3 linked regions of the Rattus norvegicus genome follow. The main gene of each other region encodes a partner of the protein of the gene in region 3 in a complex. Links are inferred from orthologs where the notes say so. Each region holds a gene or a part of one and is shown on either strand. Other genes may lie near its edges. The genes, in order: Ush1c, Cdhr5 and Cdhr2.

Region 1 (4,396 bases), on a different chromosome or scaffold from region 3:
ATGTCACCTCTTTAGAGAGGTCTTCCTGGCTACCTAACATAACACCTGTTGGTCTCTATCCCCCGCCCCCCCCCCACTCCGGGTACTTTTCTCCCAGCATTCAGCACAGTACTCCATTATAAGATACTGTTAGTTTCCTTGGTAACTGTCTTCCCCACCAGGGTATGGTCCTGATGATCGGCAAGGCTTTGGTCTGCTCCTCGGTGCCAAAGCTGTGCCTGACATAGATTAGGAAGCCGGAGAGTGTTTATTACACACATGCATTAGTGAATGAATGAATGAATGAATGAATGAATGAATGGATAGCAAATCCTAGAAGGGAGGGGCTCTTCTGCTCTCCTTCGCCCCACCCCTCCCTGCTTGACTGGCCTGGGGCAGGGTACACCAGAGCTGCTCATAAATGTGTGATTGCTGCAGAGACAATAAATGGTTTCTGAGCAAATGAATAACCAGGTTTCTGCTGGGAGCAAAGAGGGTGCTTTGAAAGGCTGATGCTCCACTCAGCGCCAGGGAGAGCTCAGCGCCAGCGCCTTAGTCCCTGATCATCCTGGCCTGGTCCTTTCCAACTCAAGGCTGTTCCCTCCAACTGAAGAGGGAAGTTTGTGCTGGAAGTGCCACTGACTGCTTTTGGACCAGAACCTACCAAGAACTGGAGCGCACCTTTACAGTAACACACGCAGACTTGGGCTGGGCATCGGAGCACCCCCACACTTGAATTCCTACCTAATCCTGTCTCACACAGGCACCGCACAGCCCCCTCACAAGGAAGGAAACAAAAGCTCAGAGATCCGGTGGCCTGCTCAAGGTCAGTGAGTGGCAAGGGTGAGAACTGACCCTCAGTGTGGGGATTCTCCAAGAGCACAATTTACATAAGACACACACACACATGCACACACGCACACATGCGCACACGAACACACAAACCTTATTAAAATGTTATTAGTTAAACGGTATGCCCAATTCACAAATTTGAGACCTGAGTCACAGACAGGTCACCCAGTATCAGCCATGACAACACATTACCTTAAACACTACCTCTAACAACTCAAGATTCAGATTGTGAACTTCCGCTTAGGAGTGAATTTCCCCCGAAACACTCAGGAAGGGGTCTTTAGAACAAGCAATAAGGTTGTAAATTTTACTCAGCCTGCCTGCCTCTCACCCTCATCTTTCCTCTCAGCTCCTTCGTGATCCCCCGCATGAGAGAGGAAGGCTGTTGCCATGTCTGAGACTGCAGGGCACAAAGTCCAGCCCAGGCCTTGCTTACTAGGATGCCTGCCCTGCCTGTGACACGGGAACATTAATAGGTAATGACTCTGAGGAGGAGCCCGCCTGAACACGGAAATGCAGAGGCCCTGAGGTCCTCTGGAACTGGGAGAGGAAGAATTGGGGTGAATGTAGAGTCAAGTCAGACATCAGGGAGCCTGGGGGTGATTCTCTCCCAAGAGGTAAAGTGTAGATAACTCCACTGCAAGAAATTGAAAGAGGAACCGACTTTACATGACTCCCAGCCCAAGGCCAGGAAAGAGAAATTTAAGCTCCAACAGGAGACAGGAGCCTTTAAAGTGGGTTGGCTGAAATTGACACTCAGCGAATGTTAACTGCAGCTGAGCTGTCCCCCCTCACACTGCCCTGGGCCCACAAATGATCCCCTTGACATTCAGCAGCTGCCCGTTCCTGCTGGACTTTCTGCCACTTCTCAATGCTGGGAGTGGGAACAGGAACATCCTGGCCTTGTGTTTAGGAAGCTTCCACCCCTGCGGCCCCTACTAAGCCCTGATCCCTGTGCTCTGAGCCCAAGGCCTGTCTCCTGTGCACACGGGTAGATTATGTGAGGGTACAGATTGGGTCTGACACAAAGTAGGTAAGCACTCAGAATATGATTTAAGGGAATGACGGGCTGATCCCTCGTGTTGGGTGGAAGTTCTTGGCCTGTAACCTCTGTGCCTCCACAGTGACTGACTTCTGTGTATCTCTGAGGCTCTATGTGGAAGGGAGGAGAGGGGACAGCTAGACTGTGTTTTAGGCACTCTGTCCCCTCAGACTGGGAAGGGGTTCTGCTTGGTCTCTAGTGTCAGGGTGTACATACAGCTCTCTTCCTTGGGCAGGGCCTGTGAGGAACTGTTGACACTGGCTTTACCCCTGGAGGCCACCACTGGGTCCCTTGTCCTTCAGTGGCCTTCTGTGGCCTCCACAGACCCTGTAATCTGGAAAAAGCATTAGGAAATTTCTGATGCCAGTCAAGATTTTAGAGGACTTTGAAGATCCAATGTGATCCCTCACTGGGACACAAGGAAGTAAGATTCTACCTGAGTGGTCTGTCAGACCAAAGCCAGGCGTTTCACATCCTGGCCCTTCCTTGGTCCTTCCACATGAAGATAATCTGTACTGGTTCAAAACTGCCCCTCAGCACTGTTGGGCTTTCCGTCCAGTTCCCAGCCCCTGAAGGGCCAAGGAGAAATGGCATTTTCTGGAGAGGGTCAGTTCAGTAAACCTTAGACCTGGACTTTCTAGTGTTCCCGTCTCGTTTTGCAGGGACACTTTCAGAAGTCTCAGTCTGACCAAGACCTTCAGACAAGGGAGAGGGCTCTTGTCCATCTCCCACCCACCCGGACCAAGGACTCCACAGTTCTCATAGCGCGGGGTACCTCTCAGCTCTGACCTTGTGTCGGAATTCTCGGGCCACCTTCCGGTCCATGACTGAGCCTGATCCAGTTGCTTTGCAGCTCGGTCTGCTTCTTAGGGTGCCTGGCTGCGGTGCTCAGGCGGCGGCAGGTCAGCCACCAAGACAGGACTTGCCTCCTTCAGAGTTAGAGGTGGGGCCTGGGCGGAGCAGAGGCGGGGCTGGGAGGAGAAAAGACAGCCTGGAGGCGGGGTCACCTGTCCTGAAGTTCCCCAGGATGAAAAGAAGCTTGTTGTGTGGCAATGGTGCCTTAGTTAGGCTGGCAGCTTTTTCCAGCGTGGTCCCCCTACACACTAAGGCAAAAGATCGAGGAGACGCAGGGCAGCAGGGGTGAGGGGTAGTTTGCGACTCCTCTTCCTTTCTGGAAGAGCATCTCATGTGGCCCAGGCAGGACTTGAAGTGAATATTTCACAGAGGAGGATGGCTCTGAACTCCTGATTCTACACCTCTACCTCCCAAGTGTTGGGATTACATACCTGGCCCACCGAGGTTTGGAACTTTTTGCTGTGGCACTGGGGTAGGGGGTCAGAGATTCTTGATGTAGATGGACTGTCATGCAGAAACCATCCCCCTTTTTGGACCCACCCCTCCATCACACCCCTCCATCATCACACTCCCACCCCAGCCCCCACCTCCACCCGTCTCGACTTCTCCCAGGTTTCATCCAGGCTTCTCCCACTTGCCTTCTCAGTGCAAAAACTCCTGAGGGTAAGGGGGCTGGGTCCTACTGTGTCCTGTGGGGGCTTGCCAGTTGGGGAATGCCCCCATCCACTGACTCACGTTCCTTCTCAACAGAAATTAATCCAGCACGCACATTCTCAGAGGTGCGGTGGGGGCCGTGGACCTGGTGCCTGAATTTAACCCAATAGGTGCTTGGCGTGTTATTACCACCTCACGGGATGGGCAAGGAGATCAACAGTGGTCCCAATCAGGTAGGCACAGTGGTAACTTCAGGGACACGAGAAGTGTCTCTTTTCTAGATCCCTCTGCCATTTGCCAGCAAGCAGCCAATTTTCACAGTTGGCTGGATTATGGCCCAGATGAAGACTAGGATATATGCCTGGGGGAATAACTTGAAAGCATGATCTAGATTCTCACCTTCTGATCTGGCTTCACTCTGGTGCTGTGGATAATGCTGTGCTCGAAAGCGACTTGGGGAAGACAGCTTTACCCCATCTCATGCTTCCGGTCCCACTCCACTGCTGACAGAAGCAAAGGCAGGAAGGGGAAGCAGAGACTATAGCAGAATGCTTCTTGCTGGCTCAGTCTCTGGCTCTCTTGCTCCCAGACTCAAGCTTGGCTAGCTCGGTTGTGAAGCTGGGGCCACCTGTCGAGGGATGGTGCGTCTGCCATGGGCTTTCCATAAGTTGGGAGCCGGCTATAGCCCAGCCTCTGTCCTTCACTGCCTTCTGAATAAATTAGTACTCGAGATAATCCCCACAGGCCTAGGTTTCCTCTCAGCCGACTCCAGGTCGTGTCAAGTCGACAGTTAATGGTAACTAGGATTCTTTATTATTAACTGAGTAAGTCAGAAACCAGACAGAAAGGTGTATGGGGCATTTAGTGGTCCAGAAAAGACCTCATGAGATACGGTTCTCTTTCCATTTACATCTTTGATTCTCTCTTTCCTTCCCTTTTGAAGTTTGTTTTCATTTTTATTTTTGTGTGTGAACTTTGGCTCGCATATATTCGTGTACAGTGTCTGTGTGCCTG
Region 2 (4,364 bases), on a different chromosome or scaffold from region 3:
TTCAGTTAGTCAGTCATTCTTTGTCTTTCATTCCACAGACACTGGTGGCATCAACAATGTGATGGCCTAGGAGCTCCTGTTCTAGGAGGAATGCACTCAAACTGTAAAGACAAGTTTTAGAGTGTGGCCACGTGCATGTGGTGGGTGCGCTGAAGAGAGAGAATGACAATCCTGGGGGCACAACCAGCAAAATATCAAAGGGAGAAAAACAGCATCTCACGACTTCAAAAACAGGTCTCCAAAAGGATAGTGGGAAAAGGGCCTTCAGGTCGAAAGCAAACAGCTCATTCCCATGACAGCCCTTCCTGAGACCCAGGGAGACATGAACACAGCCAGGTGCTGGAGGACAGAGACGGAAAGCTGCTCTTCTCAGCTGTGACAGATGTCAAGGCCAGGGCTCTCTCTGTGCCTCTCTGTCTCTCTGTGTCTCTGTCTCTTTCTCTGTCTCTCTGTCTCTCTCTGTCTGTGTCTTTCTGTTTCTGTCTCTGTCTCTCTCTGTCTCTTGTGTGTCTGTGTGTCTGTGTGGGAAGTATATTTGTGTGTTGAAGGTGGAGCACAGGGCTTCAATCATACTAGGCAGGTATTTGTCCTGGCTGGTTTTGTGTGTCAACCTCACACAAGCTGGAGTTATCACAGAGAAAGGAGCCTCAGTTGAGGAAACGCCTCCATGAGATCCAGCTGTAAGGCATTTTCTCAACTAGTGATCAAGAGGGGAGGGCCCAGCCCATTGTGGATGGTGTTGTCCCTGGGATAGTGGTCCTGGGTTCTATAAGAAAGCAACCCAATGGGGCTGGAGGGATGGCTCAGTGGTTAAGAGCGCTGACTGCTCTTCCAGAGATCCTGAGTTCAATTCCCAGCAACCACATGGTGGCTCACAACCATCTGTAATGGGATCTGATGCCCTCTCTCTTCTGGTGTGTCTGAAGACAGCTACAGTGTACTCATACATAATAAATAAATAAATCTTAAGAAAAAAAAGAAAGCCAGTAACTAATATCCCTCCATGGCCTCTGCATCAGCTCCTTCTTCCTGACCTACTTGAGTTCCTGTCCTGACTTCCTTTGGTGATGAACAGCAATGTGGAAGTGTAAGCTGAATAACCCTTTCCTCACCAACTTGCTTCTTGGTCATAATATTGGTGCAGGAATAGAAACCCTGATTAAGACAGAAGTCTAACACTAAACTTTACCCAAAAAAGAATTTCGTTTTGTTTTTAATTATTATGATCTATTAGAGACATAGGCCAAGATGTGTGTGGGTAACATGTCGTGGTGCCCGGCAGGAGTGCAGGGTGTGAGAGTTGCTCACAGTGAAGCAGGAAGTGTGTGGGGCCTGTTACTTCTTCTAGTGTCCTTTAGTAAAAGGCTATTGATGGAGGATAAGATGTATGGGATAGGGTAGGGGACAGTATAAAGTAGGAGGGTTAGGCATCAAAATGAATTTGCACACCAGGTCAGTGTCTGCATACCACAGCCTTGCCCACCCACTTGTGCATTTGACTTTGACTTCCAGTAAGAAAATGTGGAAGTTTCTGTGAGGCTGCATGGGGTTGTGGCTATGAGCTTTCGGGATTCCCTGTGTAGAGAGGGAATAGAGGAGGGCCAAGGACAAGAACAGCAAGTGGATGTGCAAGAAGGGTCAGAAAGGAGAGCCACTGGCCAGGGCCCCATGGGACGGACTAGAGGTAGGAAGAGTAAATCCGACTCTAACTGAGGTACAGTCAACCGTGCCAACAGTGTTCCTTGGATGGGGTGACATCAGAAGTGGCTGGCAGGTGAAGGTGTCTCCCAGGTGAGGGGTGAGGGGCCTACTTAGGGTCTCAAGGTACTGACTTAATACTGGGCTCTACGTTAGCTGAGTTTGAGTCTGGAGCTCAGGGCAGAATCTAGGCTAAAAGAATCATGGAAGTGGCTAGGAGAGAGTTGATGTTCAGACTCCCTGGGGGTAAGGTCTTGGAGGAGTGGTCTTGGGGTACTCTGACAAAAGGCCCAGGTGGTCAGGTAATGGGGTTAACTTACCAAAGTATCTCCTCTCTTACACTCCAGGACTGCCTCCAGCAAAGAGTTTTCCTGAGGATAAAGCCAGGGGCCCTATGAGTCACTTGCCACATAGGGAACTATCCTCCTATAGGATAGGAGAGTACAGCTAGGAGAGCAGGGAGCGCTCCAGCGCCCCAGTCATCTGTGGGAAATCCTGGGTATAGGGGACATTTGGCAACTTTGTCCCCTTATGGCCCTACCCCTCAGTACCAACCAACCAACCAACCAACCATCTAACCAACCACTGGGCCTGAAAGGGCTCCTCACTGCCAGGAGCATATAGATCCCTTCAGTCCCTCTTTCCCTGAATCTTTCCCAGGTTAGGGGAGTGGATGCCCATTTGTGTCCCCATGAAGGCATATTCTATTCGGTCTACAGTCTGTACCTCATAATCTGGAGTCACGATGAGAAACAGCTTATTGCCCTCAACCTTAAAGGCATTAGGGGTGGACAACTGTCCCAAGGTCACATACTGGTCTTCTGGGACAAAAATGTCCGCCAGTGGCCCAGAAACAGTGGTGTTCTCGTTCATTGTAAACACGGTCTGGTTCGCAGAGCAGACTAGAAAGTTGCAAAGGAGAAGTTGGTTCCTCCCAGCCCAGCTCTGCCACCCACCCATCCTGCCCATGTTCAGTACCTACCCTGAGCCTGGGCCAAGGTCCCTGGAAGGTGGCCAAACAGCACCGTGAGCAATGGCAACAGCAGGGGAGGCCACAGGAGGGCCGGAGCCCCCATGGTGGCAGCTGTCACCTGGAAGAAGGGTCCGGCCGGCTTGGTTCCAGGGCTGGTACAATTCCTGCTCCAGGGCTGGTACAATTCCTGCCTTGGCGACCTTCGCCCCTGCCAGGCACCGCCTCATTTTATGATCCTTTACAGATGGCCTCTACCAAGGGGGATCCCGCTGGCCGGCCGGCACTAACAGGGGACATGAGGTCATATTGCAGCTTGGACTTCCAGGAAGTTAGCTGAGGACTCAACTTACAGGCACCACACATAAGGTGTAAAAAATCTTGAGAACCAGGAGTGGAGAATAGGCGTGGGAAGCCAGGGCAAGGCTCTGGAGCCATAGACCTAAGGAGGCTGAGTCAGGGTTGGGGGCTGAAGCAGGACTCGGGGATGGAGCCATAGGTCTGGGGAGCTGGGGCAGGGCTGGGGAACTGGGAGCAAGAACAGGGATGCGGGCTGAGCCATTGGTCTTGGGTCCACTGTGACCCTCATCTCCTCTCTTTCTCTTCAATGTTTATTTTAGAAAATCACTGGAGCTCTGTTATGTTACCTGCCTTCCCTCTTCCACTCCCAAAGGACAAGGCTGTGTCCCAGTCAGCTGCTCCTGCTGTCTGAGAAACACAGCAGTGCCCCCAGGGTAGGGCCTGGCAGAGCCTTGGTGGGTGGTAAGATGCAAATAGAACCTTTCAACCACTGGAGGAGCTGGGGTTTGGGGAGCCAGTATCTGATGGAAGACAAGAATCCCAGAGGACACAACCCAGCCCTCCATTAGACCTGCTTCCTCCTCTCTTGCTTCCTCTCCTCTGCCCTACAAGCTCTCAGAGATGAGAGGAAGCCCCTAAGTGGGGCCAGGAGAATGGTAGGGGGTGTTCTGTTGAAAGGGCCTACATAGCCCTCCCTCATTACTCTGGGTCTTTTGCTTTAGATGTCTGAAAACCTTCCCAAAGCTCCAGGCCTCTCTCTGTCAGAACTGGGCACTGTCTCACCACAGCCGCCCACTGAGAGATGACATCACCGGCCAGGCCTCATGGCTGGGCCATGACCACATAGGATGAACTCAGGTCCTCCCACTCCTGCCTGAGCCTCCTCCTCACCACTTCATTTACCCTGACCACATGGCTAGGCCAGGGTGGGGATCCTTGATCCCTGGAGATTTTGCTAAATGAACCACAGGGCAGGGTTGGACTCTAGGGAATTCAGCTAGGAAAAGAGGGGTTCAGCTGATGTCAGAGATAAAAAATGCCCTAGCTGGCTTTCCAGGTTCAAAGGGCAACAACTGGGTGTGGTCCTAGTCACTGAATGAGATGGATGGATCCGTCCAAGCCTGCCAGGTTCACGGAGCAGAGACTGCCTTGATTTTATCAGATATCACACACCATGAGCTAAAAGACCAGGGTCTAAATTCCTTCTTTATTGATGCCAAGGACAACCAATCCCTACTCCAGTCAGGCTCCTGGAGACTCCCCTTCCTCCCTCATCTGGGCTGCCTGGTTGTTTCAGTCCACTCTGAATGGTCGACAGCAGGCCTTGGTCCAGGAGGCAGCCAGAGAGACAGGGACCCATCCAGGGACAGCCTGGGCAGAAGCCTGTGGAGGGAGA
Region 3 (4,168 bases):
CAAGCCCCCTTCTCTGTTTCCTCCTACTTTCCCTCCTGTCCTCATGGTGTAACTCAGGTGATAGTGCCCCACACCTGAAAGCTCACGCGCCATCCCTGTTGAGTCACTCCTGGAGAGATGGCTTAGATACTCTGTTTTGCCTATGGGGATTCTCAAGTCTCCAGGAAGCTAGGTTTCCTGTCCAGCAGTCACAGAGTCATGTCTGACTCACTCCTAGAACTCCTTTGGATTCTCCTTCCTATACTGGATGAGTTGACCCTAAGTTTCTCAGCCTTGTCCCCTTTGTCACAGTGACTTTTCACAAGCATACTCACTAACAATAATAAGGCCAAAGTTCTGCACTTGACAGCAGCATCTCCCAGACTCCATCACTTAAGAAAAATGTGTTGTGAGATTGGAAGCACCTGGTGACCTGCCTCACCTCGATGGCACAGGCACTCCCAAGACCTGACCTGTGCAAAGGCTCAGACCAGCTGTTGGACACACTTCCCACCTTTGGCAAGCCAAATCCTTAGGGGACCTGGGTCTCACCTTCCAAGAGTGGTTCCCTTTCCCTCTTGCCGTATCCTGTCCACAGTCCGCACCCACACACACACACACACACACACACACACACACACACACACACTGCATCATCTTTCCCCTTGATTTGCATGTGTCTCTTCTGCGCCAAAGGCCCTCTTGTGTCCCTTGCCCTTGTGCAAATTCTCTCTGTCCTTCAAGGCTCAGGTCACAGCTAGAGTCTCTGAGCTCCAGTCAGGGGTCATATGCTACAGGACATACAGGAGAAGAGAGGGGATGTGCCCAGGTACTGGAGCTGGGGAAACTTCCCCCAGGTGCCCTTTCCTCCTCGGAGGGACCAAAAGTCAAACGTAGGCTCACGTGAGACACCACTGATGCCAGCCCCCGTCCACTTTGCGCCTGATATAGTTTGTATCTTTAAGAGATCGGAAGCTGGGCCTGGAGTGCCACCAGTATCCTATTACTCAGGAGAGAGGAGGCTCTCTAGTTCTAGACTAGCCTCAGCTGTATGGAGAGACCTGTAAAAGGAGAGAGAAGCAGGGAGGGAGGAAGAAGAAGATGGGGAAGATGAAGAAGAGGAGAGGAAGAAAGAACAGATCTAGACCCTAGAAATCCAAGGTGCTTGCTCCCAAGCTCCTGCCGCCTTATTTGAGGCTGGGCAGGAGGCTCTCTACTGAAGCAGGCTAGCTGTGCCGGGCAAGCCATGGAATGAGGAGATGTTCTGGTGTGTTCCATCAGTGTGTTCAATTATTTAGTGTCCCCTAAAAGCAAAAATACTCAGCTACTCATGCTATAACGTGTCTGAGGAAAAGTCGGGAACACCAGGGGCTCCAGATCACTCGATGGACCCCCAGGCTCCCAGACCCAGGCCATCCACAGCAAGGGGGCTCCTCCCTCTTATCTCAGAGGACACGCTGGCCGCAGCTCACAAGACTCCAGGAAACCAAAGGCTCTACAGTTCAGTCCACTGGATGTGAGGATCCCAGACCTCTTGGAAGGCCACAGAGGAAGGGAGCCCTCCTCCACTAATGACCCAGCTACAGGCTTCCTCACCCCACAGCCACCCCGCCCTGCCGCAGCCTCAGAAGTTCCCTGAGCCCTTCCTTTCACTTCTGCTTTCTTTTACTCCTTCGCACAGCTGATCTCTGGGAGCAGCTATCCTACCGTTACTGTTCATCAACCTTTTCGGACGGCCAACCACAAAGGGTTAAACACCAGCAGCGGGCAAGGCTGGACCCAGGTACCACTCTGCTGACCCTACAGGGGTCTCTTCTGATCCCACCAGCCCAGCCAAGTGATGCAGCTGCAAAGATAGGGACCCAGGGACCTTTAAGTGTCCATGCCCCAGGTATACTAGGCTTCTTATAGCCAGAGATGGTGCCCGCCCTCTTGGCTGCTTCTTCTGAGGGGACAGATATGGATCAGGCCCCAGGTTTGGATTTCAGCATTTCACATACAAGCCTGCCCTACCCTCAGCTACAGTTTTCCTCTGAGGAGTAAGGTGAGGGCAGGCTACGTCCTGTGCCGATCAGGAGATCGGCATTATGCTCTGAAATGCTGCCTGGGAGCAACCAGCAAGTAAGTCCTGTCTAAAGACGAGCTGGCCCAGCTGAGTCTTTACCCTGTGACCAGGATGAGGATTAAGTTAGGGTTGGGACCAGCATAGTTAGTCCTCCCTGAGGTGACCTAGCATTTGATCTCTGAGTCTGTGAGGGACAGCCTCCAACCCCTGCCATGTCTACTTCACAAGCCCTCCCCAGGTTACTAGTATCATGCCACCCCACCGATGCAGAGACCAAGGACCAAAAGCAGTCAGCAGCTCACTCAGAGTCTGCAAGGAGCTGAATGAAGATCTGAGCCAGGCGGAGTGGAGCCAGCCTTTCCCCCTCGGGCCCATGGCCAGATTCAGCCATCTTCCTCATCTTCCCCTTTCAGATAACAGATGAGGTTGTCGATTAGTTTCCTAGGGGAACCCTTCTCCTCAGGCTAGAAATACCCCAGGGACAGCAGGAGGTGGTCACTGCCTGGAGAGGAAGGAGGTCTTAGCCCTGCATTCCAGAAGAAACAGGCTTCACTGGTGGCCTCACCAACTCAAGCCTGGCTCTGCCCATCCCAGTGGCTAATGACACAGCTAGCTCTTCCCCCTGGTGTCCCCGCCACGCTCCAGATGCCAAGTCGGAAAGACCTCAAAGTTTGCCTCAATCCCAAGGACCCCGGCTTACCCCTGGGCTAAGAGCCCCCGAAGCAGCTGAGCTGGACAACCCCTGGAAGGGGCCCAGAGGTGGTGATGTGCACCCAGTCACAGGTGAGCACTGTCTGGGCCCGGCAGAACACAGCTGCAGACTTTGGCACCATCTCCACCTCCCCGGAGCAATCATTAACCATACAGAGACCACACCTCCTCAGAAGGCACTGGCTGCAGCTAGGGCGGGCAAGGCCCTAGGGCTGAGGTACTAGAGGAGTAGGCAGTCCCACTGCCAGAGAAGGGGCAGATGTCCAGCCCAGGGTTCTGCTGCAAACTGGAGATGGTGACAGTCAGGGGACATGTCAGGGCCATCTCTCCTCTCCTGGTTCATCTTCTGGAGAGGGGACCTGTGGAGAAAGTGGGGTGGGGAGATCTGTTGGGGTGAGGAGACTTGACAGTTATCAAGCACTGAGCCTTCAAGCCAAGGCCTGAGGCTGGTGTGAAAGGGCACCCTGAAGCCTTTTCAGCCCCATATCTGTCCCCTCCAAGCAGGACATCAAAGGTCAGGGTCAATGCAGGGCATAGTGGCACATGCCCTTAATCCCAGCCCTCAGAAGACTGAGGCAAGTGGATCCCTATGAGTTCCAGGACCAGCTGGTCTATAGAACAAGTTTTAGACCAGACACAGCGAGATGTTATCTCTCAGAAACAAAGGTGAGCTGGGGAAGTGGCGCCTTCGATCCCGGGATTTGGGAAGCAGATGCCCATAGATCTCAGAGTTTGAGGCCAGCGAGTTCCAGGGCAACCAGAGTTATGCAGAGAAACAAACCAAAAATAAAAACCAACAAAATCAAAATCAAAATCAAAGGGCAGGTTCACACACTGCCCCAGGGTCTCCTCACACTCATAAGGGCAGGGTCACACACTCCCAGTGGTTGCCTCCCATGGGGGAACAATTCCCAAGTTCATTTCATCCAACCGCATAGCACAGCCGTGTGCCTCTTCCTACCTGAGTGGCCTGAGGAAGCTGCTGCTCCCTCTTGATACTGAGGCATCCCTTTGAGGTTTTGGTGTGCTGACACAAGTTCTCAGGGAGCACCAAATCCACCAAAAGAACTCATGGTTCTTCAAGGTCCTGGCGAAGACTGGCCTCAAGTCGCTGGGGGAGGGGCTAGAATCCGTATTTATTGAGCACCTAGTGTAGGCATAAATTTTTCTCAACCTGCTTTAATAAGGGTTCAACCTCCCCTCGAGCCCGCCACCCTCCAGGGGTAGTAGAAAAGAAAGGTTATTAGGATACTAGGGAAGTGGACCTGTTTAGAGACAGTTCTTTGGGAATCTTCTAATCTCCTTAGTTCAATCCACAAGCAAACACCAAACACGAATCAACACCAGCAGCCCAGTCTTCTCAGCAGACACCGCACGGGAATCAGAAGAAACCTTGAGTCTCGCCAACTGGCC

The links.
Region 1: Cdhr2 (region 3) and Ush1c share a complex: the UniProt entries of both Homo sapiens proteins name them as parts of the IMAC/intermicrovillar adhesion complex. The link is inferred for Rattus norvegicus from reciprocal best matches to the Homo sapiens genes CDHR2 and USH1C.
Region 2: Cdhr2 (region 3) and Cdhr5 share a complex: the UniProt entries of both Homo sapiens proteins name them as parts of the IMAC/intermicrovillar adhesion complex. The link is inferred for Rattus norvegicus from reciprocal best matches to the Homo sapiens genes CDHR2 and CDHR5.

Annotation. Positions count from the first base shown.
Region 1 is NC_086019.1:105,877,267-105,881,662, forward strand, and holds the start of Ush1c (harmonin), read right to left. Parts: upstream 2,817-4,396; 5' UTR 2,699-2,816; coding exon 2,663-2,698; intron 1-2,662. UniProt on the Homo sapiens protein: Anchoring/scaffolding protein that is a part of the functional network formed by USH1C, USH1G, CDH23 and MYO7A that mediates mechanotransduction in cochlear hair cells. Required for normal development and maintenance of cochlear hair cell bundles.
Region 2 is NC_086019.1:205,808,280-205,812,643, forward strand, and holds the start of Cdhr5 (cadherin-related family member 5 precursor), read right to left. Parts: upstream 2,814-4,364; 5' UTR 2,775-2,813; coding exon 2,681-2,774; intron 2,601-2,680; coding exon 2,425-2,600; intron 2,070-2,424; coding exon 2,019-2,069; intron 1-2,018. Other genes in the region: Sct (secretin precursor), read right to left, coding at 4,240-4,351. UniProt on the Homo sapiens protein: Intermicrovillar adhesion molecule that forms, via its extracellular domain, calcium-dependent heterophilic complexes with CDHR2 on adjacent microvilli. Thereby, controls the packing of microvilli at the apical membrane of epithelial cells.
Region 3 is NC_086035.1:9,914,859-9,919,026, forward strand, and holds the start of Cdhr2 (cadherin-related family member 2 precursor), read right to left. Parts: upstream 2,841-4,168; 5' UTR 2,745-2,840; intron 1-2,744. UniProt on the Homo sapiens protein: Intermicrovillar adhesion molecule that forms, via its extracellular domain, calcium-dependent heterophilic complexes with CDHR5 on adjacent microvilli. Thereby, controls the packing of microvilli at the apical membrane of epithelial cells.